4 linked regions of the Stegostoma tigrinum genome follow. The protein of the gene in region 2 interacts with the protein of the main gene of each other region in a pairwise test. Links are inferred from orthologs where the notes say so. Each region holds a gene or a part of one and is shown on either strand. Other genes may lie near its edges. The genes, in order: cutc, lnx1, necab2 and rab GDP dissociation inhibitor alpha.

Region 1 (7,233 bases), on a different chromosome or scaffold from region 2:
GCAAATCAGTTACGTACATACTGTGATTACAAAAGCAGATAAGAGACTGGAAAGATAGCAATGGCCAACACTTACTGATTCTCCAAACCTTACCCACCATCCACAAAGGCACAACTCAAGGGTGTGATGGAATGCTCTCCCCATTTGCCTGTGCAGCTCCAGTATCACTGAAGAAGCATGACACTACCCAGGATAAAACAGCCTACTTGACTGATACCCCATCCACTACAGTTAACATTCACTCTCTCCACTATTGAAGTACAGCAGGAACAATGCACCATCTACAAGATATGCTGCAGCAACTCACTCCTTCGACAGCATCTTCCCAAATTACTGAAAAGACAAGGGGTGTATGGGAATATCATCATCTGGAAACTCTTCAAGTCTACACTGACCATCCAACCTAGAAATTCCCTAGTTGTTCCATCGCTGCCACTGAGTCAATATATTGGGAACTGCCTCCCTAAAAGCACAACCACAACTGTTCAAGGTGATAGCAAACTACCATTTTTTTCTAGACCACTTATGGATAAACAATAAATGTCAATGGCACCGAAATCTACAGAATGAACTTAAGGGAATATTCTCGCTTCACCTGCTTTAAAATATAAAAACATTATCCCTAACTGCAATTTATTTAAAAGCTATAACTTTGAAGGAACAGAAACAGTGGTTTTGCTGGAGGAACATTACCTGGTTCGGAGGCAGGAGCAGGGACAGACCAGTCCACAGGCTGGCACAGTAGAGTAACAGTGCAGATCCAAGATGAGCAGCCAGGCGATACTGGCTGACCCGGGGAATGTCATGTGAATCCTTCTTCTCCTCCAAACCACTTTTCACCATGTACCAACCGAGTAAACCCTGAGGAACAACAACAAGGTAAGGTGCTAAAACCCTGGACAGATCAGAACTGCCAAAGTGAAAATATCTTTCTTAGGATTAGAATGGTAATGCACAAAAGATCATGCAGAAAACAAGAGGGAAATTGCCCAAATATTCAATAAATTCCTCATCTAGACTGCTTTGTCCAATCTGATTTTTCCAATATACATGTAGGACCCCCTATGATAATCGCCATACCCTTTTGACAAGTTCCAACTATTTCTTGGAGAAACTTAGCAAATCCAGCAGGATCTACGGACAGAGTTAATAAGTCCGGTATAACTCTTCTTCAATTCTGAAGTTGGCGGGAGCTAAAAAAAGAAACAGAATTAACATTTCAGGCCGACGATCTGTCGGAGTTCAAACCAAAGGTGACTGACCTGAAACATCAACTCTCCTTCTCTCTCCCCACAGATCCTGCCCTACCACCAATTATTTCCACCATTCTGTTTTAATCTGTGTCATTTTCAGATTTACTAGGCTCCCCTTTTCAAATCTCACGATATGGTAGGTGGTCACCGGCATTTCACCTACCTGAAAGCACACGAATCCACAAAGGCCTGCCACCCGCAGCTTCAAGCTCCTGGAGAACCAGCCCTTCCTCCAAAAGTAAATGGCAGGCAGTATATAGGCCAGTCCCACTGCACGGCCCCACATCCGGTGAGAATATTCCATGTACCAGATGAACTTGAACTCGTTTAAAGTCATGTCATGATTTAATCTGAAGGAAAGAACACCGGAGCAGTTGATGCAGAGGAGTCACAGATCGGGTCTTACCACTGCTAGAGTAAAAGTAGCTACTAATTCAACAAGAACGTCAAACCAACCACCCCACCTTACTATCCTCAACTGTTATAAATAAACAAAAGGGAAGAGTCAAGGAACTAGATGTGAAATCAGATCTTTTGTCTCAATCGAAGTCTGAGCAGATGAAAATGTCACAGCAACACGAAATGCCCAAAAGCTACTTGTATAACTACGGTTGGAAGCTTAAAATAAACACTTTCTTTTTAAAATAAGAAATAAGGCTTTCATTTCTGTAGTGCCATTCTCATCCTTAGGGTCGCTCAATGCATTCGGCAGCCAATGAGGTTCTTTTGAAGCGCAGTCACAGTTGCAAAGCAGGAAACTCGGGAGCCAATTTATAGTCAACTTTGACCATCAGAAATGTGATAATAAATTCTGAAAGAACCGCAGATGCTGTAAATCAGATACAAAAACAGAAGTTGCTGGAAAACTTCAGCAGGTCTGGCAGCATCTGTGAAGAGAAATCAGACGTAACATTTCACATACAGCGACCTTCCTCAGAAATGTGATACCATTTCTTAGTGTTGGTTGAGGCGTAAATGATGACCTGGATACCAGGTACGACTGATATTATTTGAAATAGTGTGATAAGATCTTTTAAACCTTGAGCTTAGTTTTGAATCTCATCTGAAGGACTGCACCTCCCCAGTACTGCACTGGGGGCATTAACCTGGATTATGTCACAGTGCTCAAATCTCGAGAAATGAGACGGGATCCAGAAGCAACTGGGCCAGGGACAAGATATCAAAAGAGAGCAGGCGCAAGGCTCTAATTAAAGCCTGATTGATCTAGCAGCATTGCAGACAAACGTGATGAGGGTCAGAGATGTTGCCACCTGTTACTTACATTTTAAATTCTGGGAACTGCTGGTACTTTTGAAACTCAGCTTCCCACTCCCCTTGAGTCTTTGGGGGTTTCATCTCCTTGATGAGGTGCCAGTCCACCATCGATAAGCCAGACTCGGTCAGCCTGTGGAAAATTAAGGAAAGCCCTTAAAGTACTCTCTCTGTGCTCAACAAATATTCATCATTTCATCCTCCTTGGACTGCACCAGCGTGTGCTTTAATAAAAATAGATTTGGAAAAGAGTCAAAATCATTCTGTCATGCGATGATTTTCAACACCTCTCCTCCTATTATTCCCATCAAATCCAGCAGTACTACATCTGGTATAGTACTGCAAGAAAGCACAACATCTCTACTTCCTCAAGACGTCAAGGATGGCTTGGGGTGGCAAGATGGTTCCGCGGTTAGCATTATTGCCTCGCAGCTCCAGGGACCCAGGTTTGATTCCAACCTCGGGTGACTGTCTGTGCAGAGTTTGCATTTTCTCTTTGTGTCTGTGTGGGTTTCCTCCCACAGTCCAAAGATGTGCAAGTTAGGTCGATTGGCCATGCTAAGCTGCCCATAATGCTCAGGGTAAGTGGACTGGCCATGACAAGTGCAGGGTTACAGGGACAGAATAGCGGGCTGGCATCTGAGCGGGATACTCTTTGGAGGGTTGGTGTAGAATCAATGGGCCAAATGGCCGTTTCCACCCTGTGGGGATCCTACAAGGACTGCAGTGGTTCCAGGAGGTAGCAAAATCAATTAATACAAACATCAAATATTGGCCTAGCCAGAAATATGAACAGGCCATCAATAAAGAACCATGACTTCGTCGTGGAAGCGGTTGCTTTTACTGACAGAAGACTTTCACTTACCTGGTTACTCCGCCAAGGACCACAGCGCCCACAACCATTCCACTGCAAACAATCATCCATTTGCCCAAGATTCGGTCTGTGATGACACTGGGTATACGGTCTGTCCTGGACTGCGCTGATACTTTTGTAACAACAGAACTCATTCCCTTTCTCACTCCCCATTGTTTCCAAGTGTGACTTAGCTGAAAAGAAGAATTAATAAAACAGCATGGCTGACTCCCTTTTACAGAACCAGATGAAGATTATTAGTCATAAAATCTTACAGCATGCCTATGCATGACCTTTAAATGAGCTATCGAGTTATAGCCCAACCCATTGTTTTGGCAAAGTCCTGCAAATTTTCCCCAAGTATCTGTCACTCTTTTGAAAGCCAGTCTTAAAATTCCTTCCTACACCTTTACAGGTGCCATATTCCAAGTCACAACTTCACTATTTCAAATGCTGAAGAAACACAGCAGTCTGACAGCATCTCTGGAGGGAGAAACAGAGTTAACGCTTTGAATGCAACATCTTCCACTCTGCCACAATTCCAAAGGAGTCATATTAGACTTGAAAAGTTAGCACTGTTTCTTTCTCCACAGAAGTGGGTATGTCAGAAATTCTCCAGCAAGTTGTTCTTATTTTAAATTTACAGCATTCACAGTACTTTATGTTTATTACATAATTCTTTCACTGCTCTGTGAATCATCTTAAATCTGGGAGCTCTGGTCACTAATCAACCTACCAATGAAAACAGCTTCTCCTGATCCACTGTAGTTTTATCATAGCTATTATGATTTCAAACACCATTTTAATATATGTAATCCTATTGTATTTGTCAGCCTGAAAGTACTGTAAGTGAGTAGAACCACAGGCTGGGAGGTTTCAGACGGGAAATGCACAGCTATCTTTTGCAATCCTATCCAATATTAGGAACCAGAGATTATTTAAGGTTACGTAACCATGTACCCGGAATCTAAAGCACCGGATTTCCAGGCAATGTGTCGTAGTTGCATCTCGTGAGGCACCTCTACCACAAGTGAGACTTGAACCTTACATCCCAGAGGCAAGGTCGGTGTTACTGTGAGACAAAAGACCTTACAATCTGCCTTTTATACATTACCTCAACTCTTATCCTTTGCTGTCCTTCAACCCCTTCCCCCTCCACTCTAACCCAGCTCTTAGCGCCTTGCATTCCGACCCGACTTATCGTTACAGCCTTTCGTGGAATCTTGCTGTGCAGAAAAGGGGTCGCCGTGGTTTCCTCCTCCAACAACAATCGCGCATGGAAAGTACTTCGTCTGGGCTACGGGGGTGGAAATAGCCGGACGAAGGGCGCTATAGAAATACACCTTCCTTACGCCCTCCTGCCGCCAGTGGGGTTTACAATAACAGCCTGTCTTTCTCCTCACCGAGTTAGCTCGGCCTCCATCCCGGGCCCGAGCCCAGGCCCAGGCCCAGGCCCGGGCCCGGGTCCGGATCGCCCGGAGGCCGAAGCGGCCGCACAATCCCGTCACCAGCATCTCCAACCCGGGGGTCAGGGGTCATCCAGCGGTAACCAATCAGAAAGCCGCACCCTGCCCGCCTGGGAGCGGGGTGAGGGGCCAGAGATCAAAACTAAATCCGATCAACGCGCGCACACAAAACAAATTAAAATAACCGCACTGCGCTCTCCGAGGGCGATAAATAACATGGAGACAGAGATTAAAAATAAAATCTGCGCCGTCGCGTTTTCACTTGAGGCGGCGGGGAAAACAGGGGTCGTAGTCACGTGACTTGGGCCTGCCTCAGGCTGCGGCTGAAGTGAGTATCGATTAAACTGCGATTTAATTCTGATTCGTGCAACAGCGTCTTGTAAACTGACTGGGGTCGTTGAATTTTGAGAAATCATTAATGTTACTTTATTCTCATAGCGTGTGTGTGTGTGTGTGTGTTTATTGCTGGCACGGGTGGCGTTTGCCAATGGTTACCATGGTGATGCCGCCCTCCCCTTCGCCTAGAATCTTCTCAGCTGTGAGCCTGGAGTCACCTGTAGCTTCAGCACTGAGCAAGGACGGTAGCCCTGTATCCAGCAACCAGCTGGCTACCCCGTGGCTTCTTGGCCACGTTTCCCGAGACCAGGACAATGCGGAATGATGTGTGTTGCCTGCCCCTGAGTTGTGATTTGGAAGGTGATGAGCAAGCCGCCTTGTTGAGCTGCTGCTGCCCATTTGCCAGTGGTGCACCCACAGTACCACCAGGGAGGTAGTTCTAGGGGTTTGACCCAGTCGCAGCGAAAAGGAACGGCGATACGTTTCCAAATCAAGATTGTAGGTGGCTTGGAGAAGAACTTGTGGGTGGTGTTATTCCCGCATACCTGTTGCCTTTGTCCCTTCCTAAACGAGTTTAAGTGGTGCTGTGGAAAGAGCTTTTGGTGGTTTACTGCAGCACATCTTACAGATGGTACAATTCGCTGCTGATGCTGAGCGTCAGTTGTGGATGGAATGAATTTGGTTTTTATGATGTGCTTAATTGTAGGTTGTTTTAAAAACCTTAAGAACTGCGGATGCTGTAAATCACACCCCCTGTTGTTAGTGACTAAAAGTCCCCATTAACTACTATTCACCCTCCCACCCTGATCATTAGCAAATCCTTTGTCTGTCCAACTGTCTTTCTCTCTCTTTGGGCTCTAAGCTATCGTTTACTCCCTACCCCACCCACCTCCCTATTTTCTGCATATAAACTGACGTTTTCCCAGCCACCATCAGTTCTGAGGAGGGGCCACTGGACCTGAAACATTAACTCTATTTTTTCCTCCACAGATGCTGCCAGACCTGCTGAGTTTTTCCAACAACTTTGTTTTTGTAGGTTGTTGTATCTTGGACGGTGGTGAGCTTCATCAAATGTTGTTAGAACTGTGCTTTTCTGGGCAAATGGAGAACATTGCATCATATCCCCAACTTGTGAGTGGTAGAAGTCAAGAAATGAGTTGCTCACTTTGATCTGCATTTGTATTCCTTATATGTCTGACTGCTCCAGTTAGGTTTCTGGTCGGTGGTGAAGCCTTTGATGTTGCTGGTGGGATATCTGTGGTGGTAATGCCAGTTGCGGGAGATATGGTTAGATTCCCCCTTGTCAGAAATACTACTGTCTAGCACATATAAATTGCTAATCAGACTAAGTTTGACTATTATCCAAGATTGCTGCACAGACAGGCCTAGTATTTGAGGAGTTGTGAATGGTGCTGATGATTTGTAATCATCAGTGACTGTCCCCACATCTGTTGGGCAAAAGATCTTTGATAAAGCCATTGAAGATGGGTCTAGATCACTCAGGCATTACACTTCTCTAGCAATGTTGCTCCAGCAACGACAACCACCTTCCTTTTTGGTAGGTATGATTGCCACCAGTGGTGAGTTTTCCCAGATTCCCCATTGACTTCAATTTAACCATGAGTCCTTAATGACACATTCAAGTCAAAGGCTGCCTTCATATCTAGAGTGCAAATGTTCAAAATTGCAGCCAGGATGTTCTCAAATCCTATAGCCATTGCTGTATCAAGTCCTTTTAGCCCTTTCTTGCTTATTATGTGGAGTGAATCAAACCAACCACTGACATCTATGATGATGGGAACTTTGGAAGGAAGCAAAATGGGCAAATACTTTAACCTCAGAGATAATGGGAACTGCAGATGCTGGAGATTCCAAGATAATAAAATGTGAGGCTGGATGAACACAGCAGGCCAAGCAGCATCTCAGGAGCACAAAAGCTGACGTTTCGGGCCTAGACCCTTCATCAGAGAGGGGGATGGGGGGAGGGAACTGGAATAAATAGGGAGAGAGGGGGAGGCGGACCGAAGATGGAGAGTAAAGAAGATAGGTGGAG
Region 2 (7,461 bases):
CCAGAATAGTCTTGCCTTGTTTGTTCAATCAAATGGATTTCCAGCTTTGGTGCTAATGCAGTGTGAAATGGAATGAATGAATTTGTACCATGTCTATGTAAATCCACTTTTATTATGATTCTGAAAAAGGTTTTAAACTCTGTTTAAACTGCTTTGCAAATAGTTCCAATGAAAATTGCTCCATTAAAATGTTGCCTATTAGGGGTTTCTGTGATTTTGGTCATTCTATTAAGAGTTTCAAAGTTAAAATTATGATTTTCTGGACAGTTCCCTGACACACCGTCAAGTAATGTCTACAAATCACTGAAAATAGTTTCCATAGATAAAAATATCCACCTTTTTTTGAGCAACTGTAAGTTTGAAGATCCAACATTATGCTTTAAATGGAGGAACTAATTACAGATTGCATAAAAACTTGATTACATTCAACCAATCAAATTATCTTTATTTTACTAGCTTCAATAAGTTTCTCAATCAACATCAAAGTCTCTCCCAAAAGTCTGAGCTTGATGGTCCACAGATTTTTTTTTGTTAATTTTTAGATATATAACAAATGATGCATTCGGAGCATGTATACCTTCATTTGGGGTTCACAGTTGTTTTGTGGCAATGTCCCCACCTCTTAGTCAAGAGAGCTGGCTTCAAGTTTCAACCTGCTCCAGAGGTTTGTAATAATATCACTGAACAGATTAATTAGAAAATATTGATCCCCATTTGGAATGACAGGCTGACCTAAGATCCAGCCTCAACAACATTAATTGAGAGAGCAGCCAATACCTGAGAAGCTTGCCATTTTAAAAAGGCTAATTTTAAGCCTCTTCCCTAGATTATGACACTTTAAGTTCTGCTATTTAGATTATCCCTTCATTTCTGAAATTCCCTTTATGTTCACTAGTCCTACCATGAGCCACAACTTCTCCTAATACTTAGGTGTTAATCATGACTGGGAGGGTTAAACTCTTCATTCTAAAAAGGTAATTGTGGATATGCACTTCTCACAAACGTAGGCATGAATGAATTCTTTTGGAAAGTTTAGGTTTTCCATTGAAGACATTCTCAGTAGATAATTTGCTTCTACTTACACACTGCGAATTATATTACTATGCATGGTGCAGTGGCACAATCTACGAAGCTATTCAGGGCTAAGCCAATATTATAATAGAGAATGGAGTATCATTGCTGTCAATTCCCTGACTATCCTCAGTTAATCTTTAAAAGTCAATTATCTTCTTTTACAGAAGGCTTCTAGACACCACAGGAGTCATTTTTGCTGCTATTTCTGTCCAGTTACTTATTTTTACTTTTTTTTATCTCTGCTCACAATCTACTATCCCAAATTGCTGATCACAAACAAACGCTGCTGTTCCACATACTTTCTAAAGAAATCAGTAACTATTAGCCTTATGTTTATATTGGAACTATAGTCCGATCAGTTGGCCCGAAACCTAAAATTCTAACGGGATACTTGAAAGAAAGATGTTCTATTGGTGAGGGAGTCCAGAACCAGGGGTAACAGACTAAGGATATGGGTTCAACCATTCAGGACTAAAATGTAAATAAATTTCTTCACCCAGAGAGGGATGAGCCTGTGGAAATTGCTGGCACAGAAAGCAGTTGAGGGCAGTACATTGTCTGATATCCAGGAAGAGTTACAATCATAGAATCCCTACAGTGCAGAAAGAGGCCATCCAGCCCATTGAGTCTGCACCCACCTTCTGAACACCGTCTCCCACCCCTGTAACCCATGAGTTTCCCATGGATAATCCATCTAGCCTGCACATTCCTGGACACTGTAAGGCAATTTTAGCATGCCCAATCCACCCAACTTACACATCTTTGGATTCTGGGAGGAAACCCACGCAGACACAGGGAGAATGTGCAAACTCCACACAGACAGTCACCTAAGTCTGGAATTAAACCCGAGTCCCTGGTGATGTGAGGCAGCAGTACTGTGTCATTTGGAGCTAAACGGATCAAAGGATATGGTGCGAAAGCAAGATGGGTGGTCAGCCATTACCATAATGACGGGTAGAGCAGGGTCAAAGGGCCAAATGGCCTACTCCTGCTTCTATTTTCTATGTTATGGCAAATGTGTTAATGCACAGACCACGATCAGTAGTCCCAAATCTCGAACTATATCTAATAAAACTCACAAACTACGAATTATGGAAAATAATTCCTATTTGGGATATAAATTAGGGATCACCACCCTTAATTGTGGCTATTAATAACAGCATAGACAAGATAAAGAAATAGAAACATGAAAAGATTGGTGCAAACAGGCTGAGTGGTCTTTTTCTGCATGGTAACACTTTTGTGGTTGAAGCGCATGGAGGCTACAGAAGGAACTCCTGGGGGAAATACTAGAGAACCAAGTTCGTAACACCTGAAGAGTGTATATCTGAAAGCTAGCTATCTGAAGGGTTATACCTAAAGAGTTTGTTCTTGAGTAGCGTGTTCGTGGCAGGCAACCATATCTGAAACTGTGCGTATCGGAGGAGTGTATATCTCGGAGTGCAAATACCTGACGTCTTCAAGAGCTGCAGAAATTCACCAAGAATCTTTAGACAATACCTTCCAAACCTATGGCCATGCCCACCCAGAAGGTCAATTGCAGCAGATAATCAGAACAGCACCATCTTCAAGTTTCTCTCCAAGCCACCATCCTAACTTGGAAATATTATCATCGTTCCATCAATGTTCCTGAATGATCCTGGAACTCCCTCCCCAATGATTCTGTGAGTCTATCTACACTTAATGGACCGCAGCTTCAAGAAGGCAGCACACCAGCACCTTCTCTGGGCAGGTAGGGGTGGGCAATAAATGCTGACTAACCACTGACACCTAGATCCCGTAATGATTATTTTAAAGTGTGGGCTGGATGAACGCAGCAGGCCAAGCAGCATCTTAGGAGCACAAAAGCTGATGTTTTGGGCCTAGACCCTTCATCAGAAAAGATTAGATTCCCGACAGTGTGGAAACAGGGCCTTCAGCCCAACAAGTCCACACGGCCTCTTGGAGCATCCCAACCAGACCCATCCCCCTATGACCCCCATGTTGTGGGCAATGCGGGAGACATGGTCGAGGGTGTTCTTGATCAGTGCGGGGGCGGAAGTTGCGGTCCTTGAAGAACGAGGACATCTGGGATGTGCGGGAGTGGAATGCCTCATCGTGAGAGCAGATGCAGTGGAGGCAAAGGAATTGGGAATAGGGGATGGAATTTTTGCAGGAAGGTTGGTGGGAGGAGATGTATTCTAGGCAGCTGTGGGAGTTGGTGGGCTTGAAATGGATATTGGTTTTTAGATGGTTGCCTAAGATGGAGACAGAGAGATCCAGGAAGGAGAGGGATATGTTGGAGATGGTCCAGGTGAATTTGAGGTTGGGGTGGAAGGTGTTGGTGAAGTGGATGAACTGTTCAAGCTCCTCTTGGGAGCACGAGGCGGCGCCAATACAGTCATCAATGTAACGGAGGAAGAGGTGGGGGCCACAACGATGCCACACGAAGGTTGCAGGAACAGCAACTCATATTCCGCTTGGGAACGCTGCAGCCCAATAGGATCAATGTGGATTTCACATGCTTCAAAATCTTCCCTCCCGCCAATGCATCCCAAAACCAGCCCAGCTCATCCCCGCCTTCCTAGCCTGTCCTTCCTCTTACCTATCCCCTCCTCAAGCCACACCTCCATTTCCTACCAAGAAAACAAAGTGTGGAGCTGGATGAGCACAGCAGGCTAAGCAGCATCTTAGGAGCACAAAAGCTGACAGAAAATCTGATGAAGGGTCGAGGCCCGAAACGTCAGCTTTTGTGCTCCTAAAATGCTGCTTAGCCTGCTGTGTTCATCCAGCTACACACATTGTTATCTCAGATCCTCCAGCATTTGCAGTTCCAATTATGTCCATTTCCTACCTACTAGCCTCATCCAGCCCCCTTGAACTGTCTGTCCTCCCTGTACTGACCTATCTCCTCCCTACCTCCACACCTACACTCACCTTCACTGGCTCCATCCCCGCCTCTTTGATCTGTCTGTCTCCTCTCCACCTATCTTCTCCTCTCTCCATCTTCTATCCGCCTCACCCTTTCCTTATTTATTTCAGAACCCTCTCCCCATCCCCCTCTCTGATGAAGGGTCTCAGCCCTACACGTCAGCTTTTGTGCTCCTAAAATGCTGCTTGGCCTGCTGTGTTCATCCAGCCCCACACTTTGTTATCTTGGTTTCTCCAGCATCTGCAGTTCCCATTATCTATGATTATTTTAAAACCCGTGATCTGTGTATCTGGGCTGTATATGCTCAATGAATGTGTACCGTGGACCGTGGGTACCTGTGAGGTGTAAGTCTGAGGGGTGTATGCCTGGAGAGTGTGTAATTGGCAGTGAAGAGTCGAGGGGCGGGGACTGTGTGGGGTGGATACCTGAGCTGTGTTCTGTATTATGGCTGTAGGCAAGTTACCGCATTTCAGTTTTACTTTATTTATCAAGCAATTGCTTACTTTCTGATGCTTTTCTCTCTCTTTTTGGTGAAAAGTGAGTAAGTAGTTAATTGTATGTGACGGAAATATTCGCTGGTGTGAAATCATTCCACGATAGTTTGTAAAGGTGAACTGGATAAAATAGTGAACACTGCTTTCTCTTTCAAGTTTTATATCCGCTCTCTGTTGGATGTGATCACCTTTGTCTCATTATTCCGCGCTCGGAATTATCGGAGCTACTTGTGTCCAACTTGATAGGCCGTGGCAGTTCCCAACAGAGCCGGTAATGTTCACGTGTGTTTACTGTAAACTTCACCAGAGCTCGTGGAAAGTATATTTTCTTTTGGTACCGGGTTACTGAGCTGACAAATCTGCAGTTTAAGCCGCTTTTTAAAAACAAAAGTAAACATTTAGATCAAAGTAAATTTTAAGAGGCTCAGTGGATGAGCTGTGAATTTGAATATTTCTCTCCAGTTATCAAAGTGGCTAGTTTTTTTTAAAAGACCGATTTCTGTTGTGTTTACAATAATGTAACCCCTTTTAGTACGTTCTATTTGATTTTTTTTACTGAATTTTATCATTTGTGTTGGTCCAATTTATTCATGCAAACTAACTTGTACCTTTATCCAGGTGAGTTGGTGTAGACAATGGATTGTGCACAATTCAAGCAGCTTTTGAGGTAGTAAATATTTTACGATTTCAGTGGAATGGAGGGCTGTTGGTTCGATTTATTCACAGGTTGGAAATCTCTTTCTGCATCAAAATGGTTGAATGTTTTAAGAAGCTTTGCAGTCGAGAATATTGGCATCTGTAGGATGAAAAACTGCTCTGTTGAAATCCTACTATGCACGGTGGAAAGATCAGTAGTTTCTGCACTTTGCATAGTTTCCTGTCAGTGTGCCAAAATAGATATGAAGCTTATCAAGAGGTGATTTTTTTTAATTGCAGCGTCAGGAATATGTTGCATTAGTTGGAGTGCAAAGGGTGGAATATATTGTACTGTAAGTGGTATATTCTAGATAATACAGTTGGTAAGGATCAACTTCTGTTTTTTGGTACTACACGATCAAAGCTCAGTAACACAATTTTAACCTCAGAACCTGTTTAATGTCCCTCCCTAATGGCATTATGGGTCTACCTGCACCAAATGGACATGGGCAGTCCAGCAAGGTAGCTGTTCACCACATTCTCAACACTTTGAGCCTGCTCTGCTGTTCAATAAGATCATGGCTGATCTGCTTTTAACCTCAACTCGAGATTCCTGCATATCCCCGCTAGTCCTTCACTCCCTTCATAATCAAGAATCTATCTACTTCTGATATTAAAGTATTTCAATTTTCTGCATCCACTGCCTTTCTGAGAAGGGAATTACAAAGATACTCAACCCTCTGAGAGAAAAACATTTCATCATCTCATTCCCGATAACTTGCAGTACCTTCATACTAACCTTTTGTGATACATGCACTAAGACACCCAAGTTTTTCTGCATCACCAAGCTGTGCCACATCTCAGGTAATAGGCTTCTCTTTTTCCTTCTGCCAAAATGGACAATTTCACATTTTCCCACAATATGCTCTATCTGCCAGATACTTGCCCCTCACTTAACTTATCTATAATTCTTATGTTCATTCCTCTCAAAAAACGATAGATTTCTATTAGGATTCTTAATTACTTGCTGTATCTGCATACTAAATTCATGCACTACAAAAAATAAATCCCTCTGCACCTTGGAATTTTGCAGTCATTCTTTGTTCAAGTACCAGTCTGCTTTAATTTATTCCTTCTGCTAAAATGAATGACATTTTTTTCCCACACACTCCACCTGCCAGATGTTTGTCCATTTCTTTAACCTATTTAAATCCCTTTTGTAGGCTACTTAGGTCCTCTTCGCAACTAACACAAAGGTACAGACCGATTTATAGAACAGTTAGATGTTGAGAACTTGGACAGCAAGGAGAGAGGGCAACAGTTTCATCACTTATTTGGAAGTTGCAGTTGGATGGCTTGTGTCTGATTTTGCCTAACTATAAACAAAGAATGCCATTTAAAGTCACAATTGATTTCCATGATTTACAAGCAGCCAGTTAATAAATTTCTAATAACCAGACTTTGAATTTGATAAATTTCCTGATGTGCATGACTGATTAAACTCACTTTTTTTGCTCGTGCATTATGTTATTTGTTAGTTATAGGAAGGAAGTGTGGTCGGATTTGAACTTGTTACCTCTCTGCTGTATAAATAGTAATTACATAATTAAGACTCAAGTGAGTTCATTGTTGTAGCCTATGGAATGTTAACAGTTGCTTTCTCATCTGCAAATGTGGGAAAGAAAATGAGGTGGGAGAGCAGTAGTGATAGGGGTCTGATTAGTTTGGAGACAGACATGTTTTTAAATATGACTGTAGGATGGTATGTTTCCTAGAGATAATGGGAACTGCAGATGCTGGAGAATCCGACATAACAAGGTGTAGAGCTGGATGAACACAGCAGGCCAAGCAGCATCAGAGGAGCACAAAAGCTGATGTTTCGGGCCTAGACCCTTTCCTGTCTGGTGTGAGGTCAAGGATGTCTCAGAGCAACTCAGGATATGATTCAGGGAGTTTGGGTGGGGGTGGTGTTTCATGATGGGTTCAATGTGTTGGGTAGGAGGGGGAATCCTGCAGTCAGTATTTAGGGAACTTGGTCGGAGTTTAGCAAGCAGGGCCTCAAAAGAAGAAGTAATCCCTGGATTACTCCCAGAGCCACACAAAAATGAGAATGGAAATAGAAGAATAAAGCAGATTAATGCATGGCTGGAAATATGATCTAGGAGGGTGGATTGCAGAAATTTTAAGGAAAGAAATGGAGTCTGAATCAGAGTTATACTGCATGTATGTGAATGCACAGAGTAAAGCCAATAAAATAGGGAGATGATTGCAGAGTGGTAAAGTCGTTGAAATGATGACTAGAATCCAGGGTAATGGTATAGTGACATGGGTTCGAATCCTGCGGTG
Region 3 (7,311 bases), on a different chromosome or scaffold from region 2:
GCTCCAGGAGAAGGTACTGAGGGACAGCATATATGCACATTTGGAAGAAAATGTGTGTGTTAGATACGGGCAGCATGCTTTTGTACAGGGAAGGTCATGTCTTACCAATCTAATTGAATTTTTTGAAGACAAAGATAATGAATGAGGGAAGGGCTGTTGATGTAGTTTATGTGGACTTTTGTAAGGCATTTGATAAAGTCCCCCATGGCAGATTGGTACAAAAAACTAAAATTGCATGGGATTCAGAGTGGGCTGGTCAAATGGATACAAGACTGGCTTGGTCATAGAAGACAGAGGGTAGTGGTGGAAGGGTGTTTTTCAAAATGGAGCCAGGTAACTAATGGTGCTCCACAGAGATCATTATTGGGTCCTTTATTGTTTGTAGTGTATATAGATGATCTGGATGAAAATGTGGGTGGTCTGATTAGTAAGTTTGTAGACGACACAAAGGTTGGTGGAGTTGCTGATAGTGCCAACGATTGTGAAAAGGTACAACAGGATATAGTTAAATTAATGACTTGGACACAGAAAAGATAGATGGAGTCTAATCCAGACAAATCTGAGGAGATTCATTTTGGAGGGTCAAATTTAGGTGCGAATTATACTGTAAATGGCAGAACCCCTAGGAACATTAAAATACAGACAGATCTGGGCCTGCAGTTCCCTAAAAGAGGCAACACAGGTAGCCAAGGTGATTAAGAAGGCATATGGCATGCTTGCCTTCAATGGCTTGGTGTGGAGCACAAGAGTTCGTGAAGCATGTTGTAACCATTTACAATCCTGGTTAGGCTGCATTTGCAGTATTGTGTGCAGTTTTGATTGCCAAATTACCAGTAGCATGTGGAAGCTTTGGAGAAAGTACAGAGAGGGTTCACCAGGATATTGCCTGGTCTCAAGGGCATTGGTGATGAGGATAGGTTAAAAAGACTAGGTTTGTTTTCACTGGAAAGACAGCAGCTGAGAGGAGACCTGATAGAGGTCTACACAATACTGCATAGTGCATAGTCAGAGGCTTTTTCCCAGGGTTGAAGTTTCAGTAACGAGGGGGTACAGGTTCAAGGTGAGAAGAGGAAAGTTCAGGGGAGATGTGTGAGGAATGTTTTTCACACAGAGAGTGGTAGGAGCCTGGAATGCAGTGCCAGAGGAGGTTGTGCAAGGAGATAGGTTGGTGACATTTTACAGGCACCTGGATAATTACATGAATAGGGAGGGAATAGAAGGATACGACTGAATAAGGGCAGAAGGTTTGTTTTTCAGTTTAGTCGGGGCATGATGATCAGCACAGGCTTGGACGGCCGAAGGGCCTGTTCCTGTGCTGTGCCTCTCTTTTGTTCTCGTTTGTTTGTTCTCTTATAAAAGTAGGGAGGTTTTGCTAAAACTATGCAAGGCACTGGCCAAGCCACAGCTGCAATAATGTTGAGCATTTTGGGCCCCTTACCTAAGAAAGCTATCAAGGCATTGTAGGAAGCACAGTGAAGGTTCACTGGGCTGACACCAGCTACAAAGGGACCGTCCTATGAGAAGAAATTGAGCAGATTGGGCCTGTACTTATTGGAATATAGAATTTTGACCTTACTGAAACTTACATGAGGGGCATGACAGGGTGGTGAATCTGTGGGATTGTGGTGATGTGGGGAGTGCTATGGACATTATTGGTGATTAATGAAGTGGATGCTGGGGTTAATATTGGCTGATTTCAGTTATGTGAATGGGGAGGTACATGTCCTGGGCAGTGACAAACTGGAGAATAGGATTAACCTGCAGTCATCTGTGGCTGCCCATATTTAATTGCACTCTCTGTGATGCCACTGAATAGCAGGTAATATGGAGAACAGGAGGCTGATCCAATATCACGCCCCCTCCCCCTCACCCCCGATTCTGTCACTGCCGGTGATAAATTTGTATCGTACTCTCATAGCATCAGAGTTAGTGATCAATTGTCCTGTTTCCTGCTGTTTCGCTTCCTGCTCTGTACCAATCTTATTGCAGCATTACCTACGGTACAGCTAAGCTCCTCTGAGGACTGACTGCTGAATGAGATACACTCACAGGAAGATCCATGCTCCATCCTCAGTCTGCATTCACAGACTCGGCCAGGAAAATAATTAATCCCTGTGGCTTGGAAAGATTAAATTCTGCCAGGGTCCCAGTGGGCTGGCCAACCTCTCAGGATCTCAGCGTTTAGAAATACACACACACAAACACACACACGGGAATGCACACATGCACACACATGCATGCATTCGAATAGGCAAACACACAAATACTTGCATACAGACACATGCATCCACAAATACACACCCACTTGCACATTCATATGGAAAACATAAAAAGCCTCAGATATGCAAGCACGCTCAGACATACTGATACATACATGGATTCAAATATACCGATATACACATACGTACATATCTATAGAAACACACAGGTACACATAAATATGCACAAAGACACACGCACACATACATATCTGCAGAAACACACAGGTACGCATAAACATGTACCAAGACACACACACTCTCACATATGGACTCACATACACATACATACAGACACAGACAAGCACAACCTCAGGCACAGATACACATACAAATACAAACAGACAAATCAGACACACTAGGGAAACACAATTGCACTCATAGTCACACATACAAACACGCGGACACATGCACAGACTCACAAAGGTCAAAGACATACTCGCAGATACATGCAGAAACACAATGAAATGCATGCAAACACACATGCAGATACACACACACATGTACAGAGACAGATATACATAGACACAGATACACTTACGTCCAAAGATATACTTATACAAATCCAGATGTATAGACACAGATATACTCACATACACACATCAACAGACAGACACACCCACACACATACACACAGACACAAACATAGGCCTACTCATACACACTTTCAGCTAGATACATACAAACAGATGCAGATAAAGGAAAAGTCACCATAGTCTTACCAGACCATAGGGCTGCTCTCTCATGAGACAGAGATGGCTGGTGGTGGTTTAATCTGAGGATCATCATACCTCAGGTGACAGGAGAATTTGAGAAGGTGAGACTTTCAAGGTAACCTCAGCCAGTATGGGAATTGAATCCACACTGCTGGCATCACATGCACACAGTGACACACAGGCACATGGTCACACACCCTGACACAGTCACACACACATGCATGTCATGTACAGTGCCATGAACATGGGCACACACCCAGCCTCGTCACACACACAGTTACACAGGCAGAGTCACATTGACACAGTCATGCACCCACACAGACTCTGTTACATTCAGTCATGTCCATGCAGCACTACACACAGCGGTCAAACACACGGTAACACAGTCACACCCATACTCACGTGGGTGCATGCGTCTATTCAATGTATACACATGGATGTGGATATAGATACACTGATGGACACAGACAGACTCACGTACAAACACATAGACTGGCACACACAGACAGACACATGTAAAGGCATATAGACACAGACATACACACAGAGATACAGAGACACAGATACAACACAAGCATAGATGGATACACAATGATGCACACAGACACACAAGCACACATTGGCATGCATGCACAGGCACATGCACAGACACATGCACAAATGGGTACACAGGCACATGCAAACATACATTTGGAGACACAAATACACACAGGCACAGACAGATACTGACGCAAATTCACAACACAGATGTTACATCTGTAACACTCTGGACACAATGTATACACATTCACACCCGCGCACACACATCGTCAGAAACACACAAACACAAAATTGCGAGCTTAAAGACATTGACAAAGTTTACCCACAGTTTTTTCTTTGTATACATACAGTGGTATCAACCTGGGGGCTATTTCTGAGGAGGCTCCCTGGCTGGATTTGCCCTGTGTACAGCTGACGGGGCAGCAGTTGGAGGAGGACAGTGTCTGTGAGTGTTGAGCACGGCCTGATCTTTCCTCTCCTCCCGCCCCTCTGCATCTCCCCCCTCTCTGCCGGCCTGTTCCTCTTTCTCTACACGTCCTACAGTTTGCCTCCAGCTCTCGGTGCTGCTGAGTGCGTGAGCGGTGACGGGGAGGGGGATAGACTGTGTGTGTGTGTGTGTGTGTGTGTGTGTTGAGGGTGGGGGGCGGGGGGAGTGCTGCTGGAGCCGGCCTGAAGCTGCTGGGAACCCGGGGGGGGGGCGGAGGTGTTGGGGGGCTGGGTGGTAGGTGCGTGGGGAGGGGATAGGGCGGGGGGGGGGGTTGCAGGGAGGGGTGTGAGGGGAAGGGGATGGTCTGCAGGATGTGAGGAAGATGTGTGATCAGGCAGCTCGCTACTGCAGGGACAGCGTCCAGCAGCAACTCCGTGACACGCAGCCGCCTGTGCACCGCGGTATCAGGGGGCTGGACGGCGTCCTGCGCTGGGTCCTCACCAAAATGAGCGACAAGAAGTTCGGGGACAGGGAATCTCAGAAAACTGAAGGGGCACCTTCCAGGCAGCAGGTGGCCGCGGACACCAAGAAAGGCATCTCAGTTATCCTGGACGTAAGTAGTTTTCTGTCTCTTCCTTTCCCCGCCTGGAGTCAGAGACCAACTTTCATATTTTAGTGGTTACCCATCCTCAATTGACCAAGGGACTGATTCAGATCCGCCCTGCGGAATCCTTCCCCGGCAGGTGGGACTGTCTATGGATAGAGTCAATAGGAACGGACTGGGCTCGAGTCGGAAGGAGCTGCCCGAGGATGAAAGCTGAGAGGGGCATGCGGTGGAGCGAGACAGAATATCCGAGAAAGTGATGGGGAGAGAGATGGAGAACTCCAGCAGAGGGACATGCAGAGACAGAGAGAATGAGTTAGAGACAAGGATACAGAGAGGCAGAGAGAGAAAGAGGGGCATGCAGGGAGAGGGGCGAGGGACAGAGACGGAGAGAAGGCGATGGAGAGAGAGAAACGGTAAGGGACAAGAGAGGGAAAGCAAAAGAAAATAAGTGAGACAGACACACACGGAATGGCTACGGAGGGATTGAGAGAGAGTGAAGCTGACAGGGAGAGAGCAAAAGCGGAATAGAGCGACCTACAGAGAGGCGAGAGAAACGGAGAGCAAAACAGTAAGTGAGAAACAGAGAGTGAAACACAATGAGTGATAATGAGAGCAACTTACAGAGACGGAGAGAGAAACTGCAGAAAGCGGGGGGGGGGGGGCGAGGGAAGAAGGAGACAAAGGGAAATAGATGGATAAAGACAGAAGAGAGCAGAAAAACAGAGGGAGAATTAGAAGGAAGGAAAGTGAGACAGAAAGAGAGGCAATCTGTTGGCAGGGAGTGAATTTAATATGAAAGTTAGATGGATGTATGAATAGAAACATTAAATTCCGAAGAGTGTGTGTCTGTTCGATAGTTTTGGCTATGTCTCTATTGCCTGGCTTGTAATGTAACAGTAAATACTGCAGGCAAGTTGGGGGCATTCAGAGTGAATGATTTCGGTTTGAAATTCTGCTGAGTGAACGAAGAAATTGATCTTTTAAAATTCTGTTTTCTCCACGTCTCTAGATATTCAGAAGAGCTGATAAAAATGGTAAGTGCAGAATCATTTTGGTGCATGTTTAATTTATATTAGTCTCATTTTCAGAGGTATTTTTAGGAATGATGCAGAGGGTGAAAGGGTTAAATTGCAAGGACAGTGTGTAAACTTAGCTCATATCCCCTTGGTGGGACTGACTGCAAGTGCATCTGGTTGTGGTGATTAAAATATACATTAAGATTCGGTTGGGATAATATGAAGAGGCGTTATCCTCTTAAATGTTTACCGTTATCTCAAGCAGCTTGGAATCAAATTGTGTTTCCAATAGAACAGAGCCTTGGTTGGACCACATCTGCAGTACTGTGTTTACTTCTGAACAGTGCAACTCAGGAGGTATATAGAGTGTTGGCAAAGATTCACATGGATTTGATTGGGGCTTCAAGGGTTAAAGGCAGTCAGAGATTCTCAGGTGAATCCAACCAGAGGCAGAGTGGGTCAATAGACATCAGCTACAGATCAGACTGAATCTCAACACAGATCCTGTTCAGGAGTTTGCCTTTCAGCCATTGTCTCTTCACCAACTATCTGAATGAATATCTCACCTAGTGTCATTCTTTCTGTAACCTTGCACTTTGCTCCTTTTCCAATTAACCATTTGATTTCCCCTTGTAAAGCCTTGTTTGAACCAGCCTCTACCATCCTCTCAGGCATTCCATCGCAGATCTGAAGCACTTGCTGCACAGACGAGATTATCCTCGAACCACTTTAGCTTCTCTCACAAATTCTCTGAAACCTGTGGCCTTCATGTCCTCAATCCTTTCAAGAGGAGGAACAGGTTTTCCTTTTACTGTTTGGGTGCCCCATGATTTTGAACATCATCCAGATCTCCTCCCAGCCTTCTCCTCTCTGAGGAGAACTGTCCGAGCTTCTCTAATCAGTCTTCATACGTGAAATTCCTCATCCCAGCAACCATTCTGATAAATTCCTTGTTTAACCTCTCCAATGCCTTCACATTGCCCTGAAAGTGCACTGTCCAGAACAGAACTGAAGCTGAGCTGATAGACTGAATGGCTTTTCTGGCCCTTTAATGATGAATAAGGGCTTCTCCTGAAAGAGATTGAGAGTTTTACACACAACTGTTAGAAGACCTAAGATGATACTGTGAACAGTCTAAATATTAGAATTGAACCTGAGCTTGAATGAAAACAAATTTATGCTCAAAAGGGTTGATTAATTCTGATTTCTGCTCTGAGAAGCCAAACGCAGGGGCAGCGGGTCCCACACACACACGGACTCTCACTGAGGTATGGGATCCCACACACAAACTGACGCTCACTGGGGCAGTGGGTCCCACACATGCACTGACTCTCACTGGGTAACGGGGTCACACACACACACACACACACACACACACACACACACACACACACACACACACACTCACACACACACTCACACACAGACTCTCACTGGGGCGGTGGGTCCCACATACACACTGACTCTCACTGGGTAATAGGATCCCACAGACACTGACTCTCACTGAGTAACGGGGTCCCACACACACACTGACTCTCACTGGGGCAGTGGGTCCCACATACACACTGACTCTCACTGGGGCAGTGGGTCCCACATACACACACTGACTCTCACTGGGTAACAGGATCCCACAGACACTGACTCTCACTGGGGTACGGGGTCCCACACACACTGTGGTACAGTCCCACACGCATTAACTCTCACTGTGGTACAGTCCCACACACTCTGGAAGTATTGTGTCAGGCAG
Region 4 (6,920 bases), on a different chromosome or scaffold from region 2:
ATGATAAGAAGGCTAAGATATTGTTCTTTGAGGTAATGGCAGTTAATTGTAAGCAAGTCAAAGCAGAAGAGGCAGTAATCACACAACGGAAGAAAATATATGTTAAGAGAATAGAGCAAGAAAACAAAAGAAATTGAAGATGGCTGGATCAAGGGCATATACTGATGGTAAACGACTTTGCTTGGATCTTGGCAAGGTGAAAGTTGTTGCAAAGGTGTAAATACAGTACAATGATTCATCAGATTTTTGATGAACTGTTTAGCAAAATTCTTGCCTGATTTGTCATCAGAGTGCAAACATCTGTGCAAACTCACTGCCCAGGATTTGCATTGGTATTCATTCACAGAAAAGAAGCAGCTTAACTCAAATCAAAAGACTAGTAACAACAGTTCAAAATGCTTTGGAAGTCATAGTTGAAAGAACAATATAGAGGTTTATAAAATAATGAGGGGTAGATAGAGTTAATGCTCATTGTCTTTTCCATAGTGGAGGGTTTTCAAGACTTGGCACCACATTTTTAAGGTGAGAGGCGAGAGATTTAAAAAAAGACGAGGGTTAAGTTTTTTACGCAGAGGGTTGTTTGCATGTGGAATAAATCTCCTGATGAAGTGTAGGTACAATTACAATGTTTAAAAGATATTTGGAAAAATATATGAATAGATATGGGCCAGGAGCAGGCAGGTGAGACGAGTTCAGTTTGGGATTATATTCGGCATGGATTGGTCTGTGACATGTAACTGTTTGAAAAGAACATCACCCTAGGAATGAACAGATACCAGACAAACTGGCAGTTACTCAACTAAATCTTATCAAAAGACCTGAAAACCTCAGAGAAAACAAGTCAATGCATGCACATACAGACTGATGAAAGTGGGATAGACTAGAATTTTCAGTTTTGTTCATGAGTGATCATTTTGGGTGACCCATAGCTGCTGAAAATAGTGCGTACAATTTTCTTTCTCTGTCTAAAAGGGGATGTTTGCATCTGCGCATTGTACCTACTAGCTGATCTTCCTTTGGTCATGTGACCTCAACATCTACTGTAATTTGCTTTCATTCGGGTGTGGCAGCCATTAAACACATAATTTGAAACAAGGGTTATGCAGATCAGGCCAGAGAAGAGGAGTTCCGGCCAGAATCAGATCAGCAATTATCTTATTAAATAGTGGCAGAGCAGGCTTAGGGAGCTGAATGGACTTCCTGCTCTGATTTCCTACAAGCTTGTCTTACTATTGCAGCATGAAGAGAAATGACGTTGGTCCCAGCCATTCCTAAATCTGAGCTTTTTTAAATTTAGCCCATTATGAAACAACTTCGTCATCATTTATTTTTAATTTGGGATAACAGTAAATAGAATCATGGAATGTCATTTTATTGTTTGGATTTTATTGTAGATCAAATACTTAATTCCTGACTTTATCTTAGGGCCTCTGCGTAAATCAAATTCAAGTTTTCATGTTTGACATACTTAAGAATTTTGGCCTGTGAGTTGTAGGTGAATTCAGTGTGTCCAAGATTCAGGTATGAAACATACAAGCTAACCACGTCGAGTTACAATTATGCAATGCCTTAAATGTAATCAAATGTCCCAAGGCAAATCACAGGCAAGTTAAACAACCAAATTTAATGCCAAGCCATGTAAAGCAACATTGTGGCAGAAGGCCAATAATTTCATCGAAGAAGGTTCAAGGAATGTCGCAAAGAAATTTATGAAATTTTTTTTAAAAATTCACAGAAGGTGGCATCTCTGACTAGGTCTGTTTTTATTGCTCTTCCCTCATTATCCAGTGTCAACTCTATTGTTGTGGGTCTGGAATCACATGTAGGCCAAACCGGGAAAGGATAGCAGGTTTTCTTCCCTAAAGGACGTATAGTAATCTTAGTATCAGAGATAATGGGAACTGCAGATGCTGGAGAATTCCAAGATAATAGAATGTGAGGCTGGATGAACACAGCAGGCCAAGCAGCATCTCAGGAGCACAAAAGCTGACGTTTCGGGCCTAGACCGGTCGTGAGACAGGTTAGTTTTACCCTACTGATGATGTGTTGTTGCAATAGTAATCCTGCTCAGTACGAGAGGAACCGCAGGTTCAGACATTTGGTGTATGTGCTTGGCTGAGGAGCCAATGGTGCGAAGCTACCATCTGTGGGATTATGACTGAACGCCTCTAAGTCAGAATCCCGCCTAAACGTAAGGATACCCTAGCGCCGCGGATCTCTGGTTGGCCTGGGATAACCGACTCCGGTCGGTGCGTAGTGCCGTTCGATTCTGGGCAGGAGCGCGGCCGTATGGGCGCCACCTCTCTCCTCTAGACGCACCGCATGTTCGTGGGGAACCTGGTGCTAAATCATTCGCAGACGACCTGATTCTGGCTCAGGGTTTTGTAAGTAGCAGAGCAGCTCCCTCGCTGCGATCTATTGAAAGTCATCCCTCGAGCCAAACTTTTGTCGGTACCGTGCAAACCATCCGTTACGACCACGCGAGGGTCCCCCTACCCGCAACCGTCCGTGACCTCGCTTCGACGTTCCGAACCGCACCTCCAGCCTGACAGCGCTGCGAAGGGTCTAGGCCCGAAACGTCAGCTTTTGTGCTCCTGAGATGCTGCTTGGCCTGCTGTGTTCATCCAGCCTCACATTCTATTATCTTATTATAGTAATCTTGCTGAGTTTTAAGGTAATCGACTGCAGTTAGATTATTTTTTAACTCCACATTTTTTTCTGAATTCAAAGTTTATCATATGTTGTAATGGAATTTGAATCAGATCATTATTGTGCATTCTAAATTATTAGTCCACGGACATTACCACCACTACTATTCCTACTCCTCCTTCCACTATCAAAATTTTAGTGGTTTAGTCAGCTGAAAATATAACCACCAGTGGAGGAAGTGTTAACATCTGGGATGCTCAAGAAGCAATTTCAAAAGATTGTGAAACTGCAGGGAATTACAGTGATATGGAGTGGTCAGGCCATTGAAAATGTGGCTAAGAACAATAATATCTTTGATGAGGGTAATAATTTAAATGGGAGTGAACCCTATTTGCCTGCAAACTGCACTTGTTCCCTTAAATTTCTACCACCTAAACTGAACAGCAATTTACTGAGAAATTCTAGAGTCTCTAGAACTGCAAATAATTGCTCCTGATAAAGAAGGTCCTTTGATGGAGACCTGAAAGATTGTCTCTGTTTCTCTCTCCACACCTGCTGGGATATCCAATTTTTTTTTAAGATCAGTTCCTTGCTTCAATTTAAAGACGATCCTTATAATGTTATTTTCTTCTTTTTTCCTCCTCCTTAATACAGTTGGAATTATCTTTCAATTACCATGTCTCCTGAGCATCCTGGCAGTTGCACTGGGCCTTGTATTACGCTTGCATGCAGACGAATGCTGTCAATGACATTTTGAAATGGAGGACTGTGTTCTGAAGAAGGATCACTGGACGAAACGTTATTCTACTTTCTCTCTCCACAGATGCTGCCGGACTTGCACAGTTTTTTCAGTAATTTCTCAGTAATTTCTGTTTTTGTTTGTAGAGAATAGGGAATTGTGCCCTACTTTGGAACTACGTCTCCCATGCTTCATTGCGGTGCATATTATCCAGCACACAGACTCTGACCCCCCCGCTGTGGACTACAATCCCCAGAAGTCCCACGGGTTGTACGCCTGCGCAGTGCCCCGTTGTATCCTGGCCGTCGACGGTGGCACTACTTTTTCTTCGGACTATGTCGAAAGAGGGGGAAGGGAATTCCAGAATACCTCGATGTTTCGTTGCTTTTCACCCTCGGAGAACTTTGCTTATCCTTCAAATCAATGTCCCGAGGCATTCTTGTCGATCCCGAGACGAAAAGGCGGTGAACTCTTCGGAAAAAAAATAAGGCGCACTATTGGCTGATGGCGGATGGACACCGTCTGAAGTGCGGGTAGTGTCACGGCATATGGTGATCCGCTCCATCCAGTCAGCTTCAGCCCAGCCCAGCCCTTCCACAATAAACCTCAGGTTTTTAACCAAAAATTAACGGTGGTACAGTGAATAACAAGTAAAAAAATGGATGAAGAATATGATGTGATTGTCCTAGGGACTGGATTGAAGGTGAGCCTTTATTCTATTATTTAACTAACAGCCTTTCTCTCCCCACCCCCGACTGTGTGATATTAATATTTGATGAATAGGTGGAGGAAATGGAATTATAGTGGCCTGTTGACTGGATTGCTGCTGTCATGTAGATTGTCCAACTTGGATATTGTAAAGAGAATTATTCACTAATATAACGTTTCTTAAGCCTTTCTCAGATGCAGCATGCACTGTGGGTGTTGGTTTGCTACATAAATCTCAGAATGGTAAAGTTTAAAGTTATTATTGAGGCGGGGAAAACTCGTCTCAAATCTTGCCTAATTTGACGTGTGTTTCGAGCATTCCCTTGATTTTTGAGAATTTTTTTTTTAATTTTTGAAAATTATTTTTTGAAATTTTGAGAGTACCTTTAGAGTAATCCAGAGGCTTAGGGACAGGAGCTGAAGACTACATTGGTGGCTTTTTGAATTTTGATTCGAATTAAAACATATTACTTGTAATGGTGGTTGGAAAACACTGCTTTTTGTTTAAAAAAAATCAAAGCCACGTTATTCATAAATGCCCTGCATGTGATTCCAGAGCCACAAGAATTTGGGATGGGCAGCAAATGCTGGCCTTTTATTACCCACACTTTGTGAAAGAATTACAAGGCTATGAAATGGGGGAAAAAATCAATAGAAATAATACCGAAGTTAACCAAATCTTTGAGAAAAGGAAGCCCCTTGTTTTTCTTCAATCAAAAATTAATGCCTAAATTGTTTACTCTATTCTTCCATTAGTGATGTAGAGAGATTTTTATCCATGTATATATTCCCTACATCAATGTTTTTGTTCATTACAAGTCACAGACTATTACTTTTAAGCTCCTGTTAAAATGTCTCATTGTTATTAACATCGAGTGGCAGGAATCAATCAGAATTGTAGAATGCCTGCAGTGTGGAAACGGGCCATTTGGCCAATCTAGTGCACACTGAACCTTCAAAGAGCATCCTGACCAGATCCAATAACCCCTCCCAATCATCCCTGTATTTCCTATGGCTTGACCATGGAGCCAGCACAATCCTGGACACCATGGGCAATTTAGCATGGCCAATCCTGCCCATCTTTTGGACTGTGGGAGGAAACTGGAGCACCTGGAGGAAACCCGCGCAGGCACGAGAAGAATGTGCAAATTCTACAGACGGTCGCCTGAAGGTGGAATTGAACACTGAGGCAGTATTGTGAACCACTGAGCCACCGTGCTGCCCTGTGCTTTAAGGAACTGGCTTTAAAGTTAAAAAGCAGTCAATAAATGATTGCAGACCAGCCAATGAAATACTGTGAAAAATGTTATTGTTTTCCAGTTAGTAAATCCATTAATTATGTTTCATCTTTTAAGATGATGGCTGGTCTATCCATTACTCTCTACCTTCAATGGTCACTGTTGTCCTGTTTCCCCAGTGGTGTAGTTTCAGTAGTTTATATTTTCCCAAGGCCTGGCTTATCCCTATCTTTTAAAGTAAACTCTGGTGTTGCAAGTCTTCACCTCCTCACTGACCCTGAGGTTTTATTGTATCCCTGACTTTCTTTGAGCCTATCATTGAGAATCTCTCCTTCATATTTCTTGAATTATTTCGTTCTCACCCACACCTCCCTGGTTTCATTTGAACCCCTTAAAACCTATTTCTTTCAAGCAAGCTTTTGATTTTTTTTCCCATTTATTCTTTTGATTTGTCCCTTTTTTCCCCCTCCCTCATCGGTGAAACGCTTACAACACCATTTTGCCAGCCAAGAGCCAAATTCATGGAAATTTCTTCGTTTCCTGTGGCAGAGAGAAAAGTAAAACGAGAACCTGTTTTGTGGGATAACAAGGTGTAGAGCTGGATGAATACAGCAGGCCAAGCAGCATCAGAGGAGCAGGAAAGCTGATGTTTCGGGTCTAGACCCTTCAGAAAATTCTAGGCACGAAACGTCAGCCTTCCTGCTCCTCTGCTGCTTGGCCTGCTGTGTTCATCCAGCTCTACATCGTGTTATCTCAGATTCTCCAGCATCTGCAGTTCCTGCTACCTGTTTTGTGGGTGCTGCCTTGTTTTCCTTGTGTGAGTAGAAATGTATATAAATATCAGTACAAGTGTTTGGTTTATTTATTAATATCTGAACTTGTGCTTTTAAAGGAACCTTTCCTGCAAATTTGTAATACATTTTATGAAAAAAATGCTTTTATGATAAAAAGTTTACTCTTCATCATTCTTGCTTATTGACTGAATTCTTGGTCAAATGCTGCATGAAATCTTAGGCCTGCCATTTAAAATGGAGTCTTTGTTTGTAGAGTCTGTTTGTTTGCCTGCAGGAGGAACATGTGACTGCTTTAAACTGATTCTGTCTCATCTTTTATGTTCAATTCATGATGTATGCATCTATGATTTGGAACATAGATTCTGTAGCTCTGTATTTGTATTTGAGTGGGAAAGAAAGACTGTGTGCCTTTTGACTTGTTAGAGAACTTAGCTGTCTGAATTTTAGGATATTCTGTGATATTGCTGGTCTTTTAAATATTCATGATAGGAGGGCTGTATTTACAGAAGATCTTTGTCTTTCAACACTTCTCCCAGCTGGCCTAACCTACTTTGGAATCATACCTTATGTTTCCCCATCACACCAATTTTCTCTCCCATGGGCAGTGGTTTTAAAATGGAGTGTGGTTCTGTAAGAGTTGAGTGCTGATGACCAAAACGGTCATTTGCGAGCCTTTCATCTGTAGTCGGCCTTAGTCTACAAATAGTAGGAATGCCAGTAACCAGTTCTCCTTCCTAATTACTCCATCTGAGTGGATTTTGTCTACTGCATCATAGGATGCAAGTTAAAAAG

The links.
Region 1: the proteins of lnx1 (region 2) and cutc interact in a two-hybrid assay, tested with the Homo sapiens proteins (3 studies listed by BioGRID and IntAct). The link is inferred for Stegostoma tigrinum from reciprocal best matches to the Homo sapiens genes LNX1 and CUTC.
Region 3: the proteins of lnx1 (region 2) and necab2 interact in binary tests that used the Homo sapiens proteins (3 or more experiments, as listed by UniProt). The link is inferred for Stegostoma tigrinum from reciprocal best matches to the Homo sapiens genes LNX1 and NECAB2.
Region 4: the proteins of lnx1 (region 2) and rab GDP dissociation inhibitor alpha interact in binary tests that used the Homo sapiens proteins (3 or more experiments, as listed by UniProt). The two-hybrid records come from large-scale screens. The link is inferred for Stegostoma tigrinum from reciprocal best matches to the Homo sapiens genes LNX1 and GDI1.

Annotation. Positions count from the first base shown.
Region 1 is NC_081373.1:13,164,324-13,171,556, forward strand, and holds the start of cutc (copper homeostasis protein cutC homolog), read left to right. Parts: upstream 1-4,224; 5' UTR 4,225-4,440; intron 4,441-4,492; coding exon of another isoform or gene 4,493-4,564; exon of another isoform or gene 4,565-4,781; coding exon of another isoform or gene 4,782-4,892; exon of another isoform or gene 4,893-4,923; intron 4,924-4,959; exon of another isoform or gene 4,960-5,172; intron 5,173-7,233. Other genes in the region: cytochrome c oxidase assembly protein COX15 homolog, read right to left, coding at 694-861, 1,417-1,603, 2,536-2,658, 3,391-3,572, 4,782-4,892. UniProt on the Homo sapiens protein: May play a role in copper homeostasis. Can bind one Cu(1+) per subunit.
Region 2 is NC_081354.1:107,522,768-107,530,228, reverse strand, and holds the start of lnx1 (E3 ubiquitin-protein ligase LNX), read left to right. Parts: upstream 1-4,437; 5' UTR 4,438-4,522; intron 4,523-4,635; exon of another isoform or gene 4,636-4,750; intron 4,751-7,461.
Region 3 is NC_081369.1:3,296,040-3,303,350, reverse strand, and holds the start of necab2 (N-terminal EF-hand calcium-binding protein 2), read left to right. Parts: upstream 1-4,301; 5' UTR 4,302-4,323; coding exon 4,324-4,554; intron 4,555-5,557; coding exon 5,558-5,582; intron 5,583-7,311. UniProt on the Homo sapiens protein: May act as a signaling scaffold protein that senses intracellular calcium.
Region 4 is NC_081364.1:9,594,157-9,601,076, forward strand, and holds the start of rab GDP dissociation inhibitor alpha, read left to right. Parts: upstream 1-3,907; 5' UTR 3,908-4,046; coding exon 4,047-4,091; intron 4,092-6,920. UniProt on the Homo sapiens protein: Regulates the GDP/GTP exchange reaction of most Rab proteins by inhibiting the dissociation of GDP from them, and the subsequent binding of GTP to them. Promotes the dissociation of GDP-bound Rab proteins from the membrane and inhibits their activation.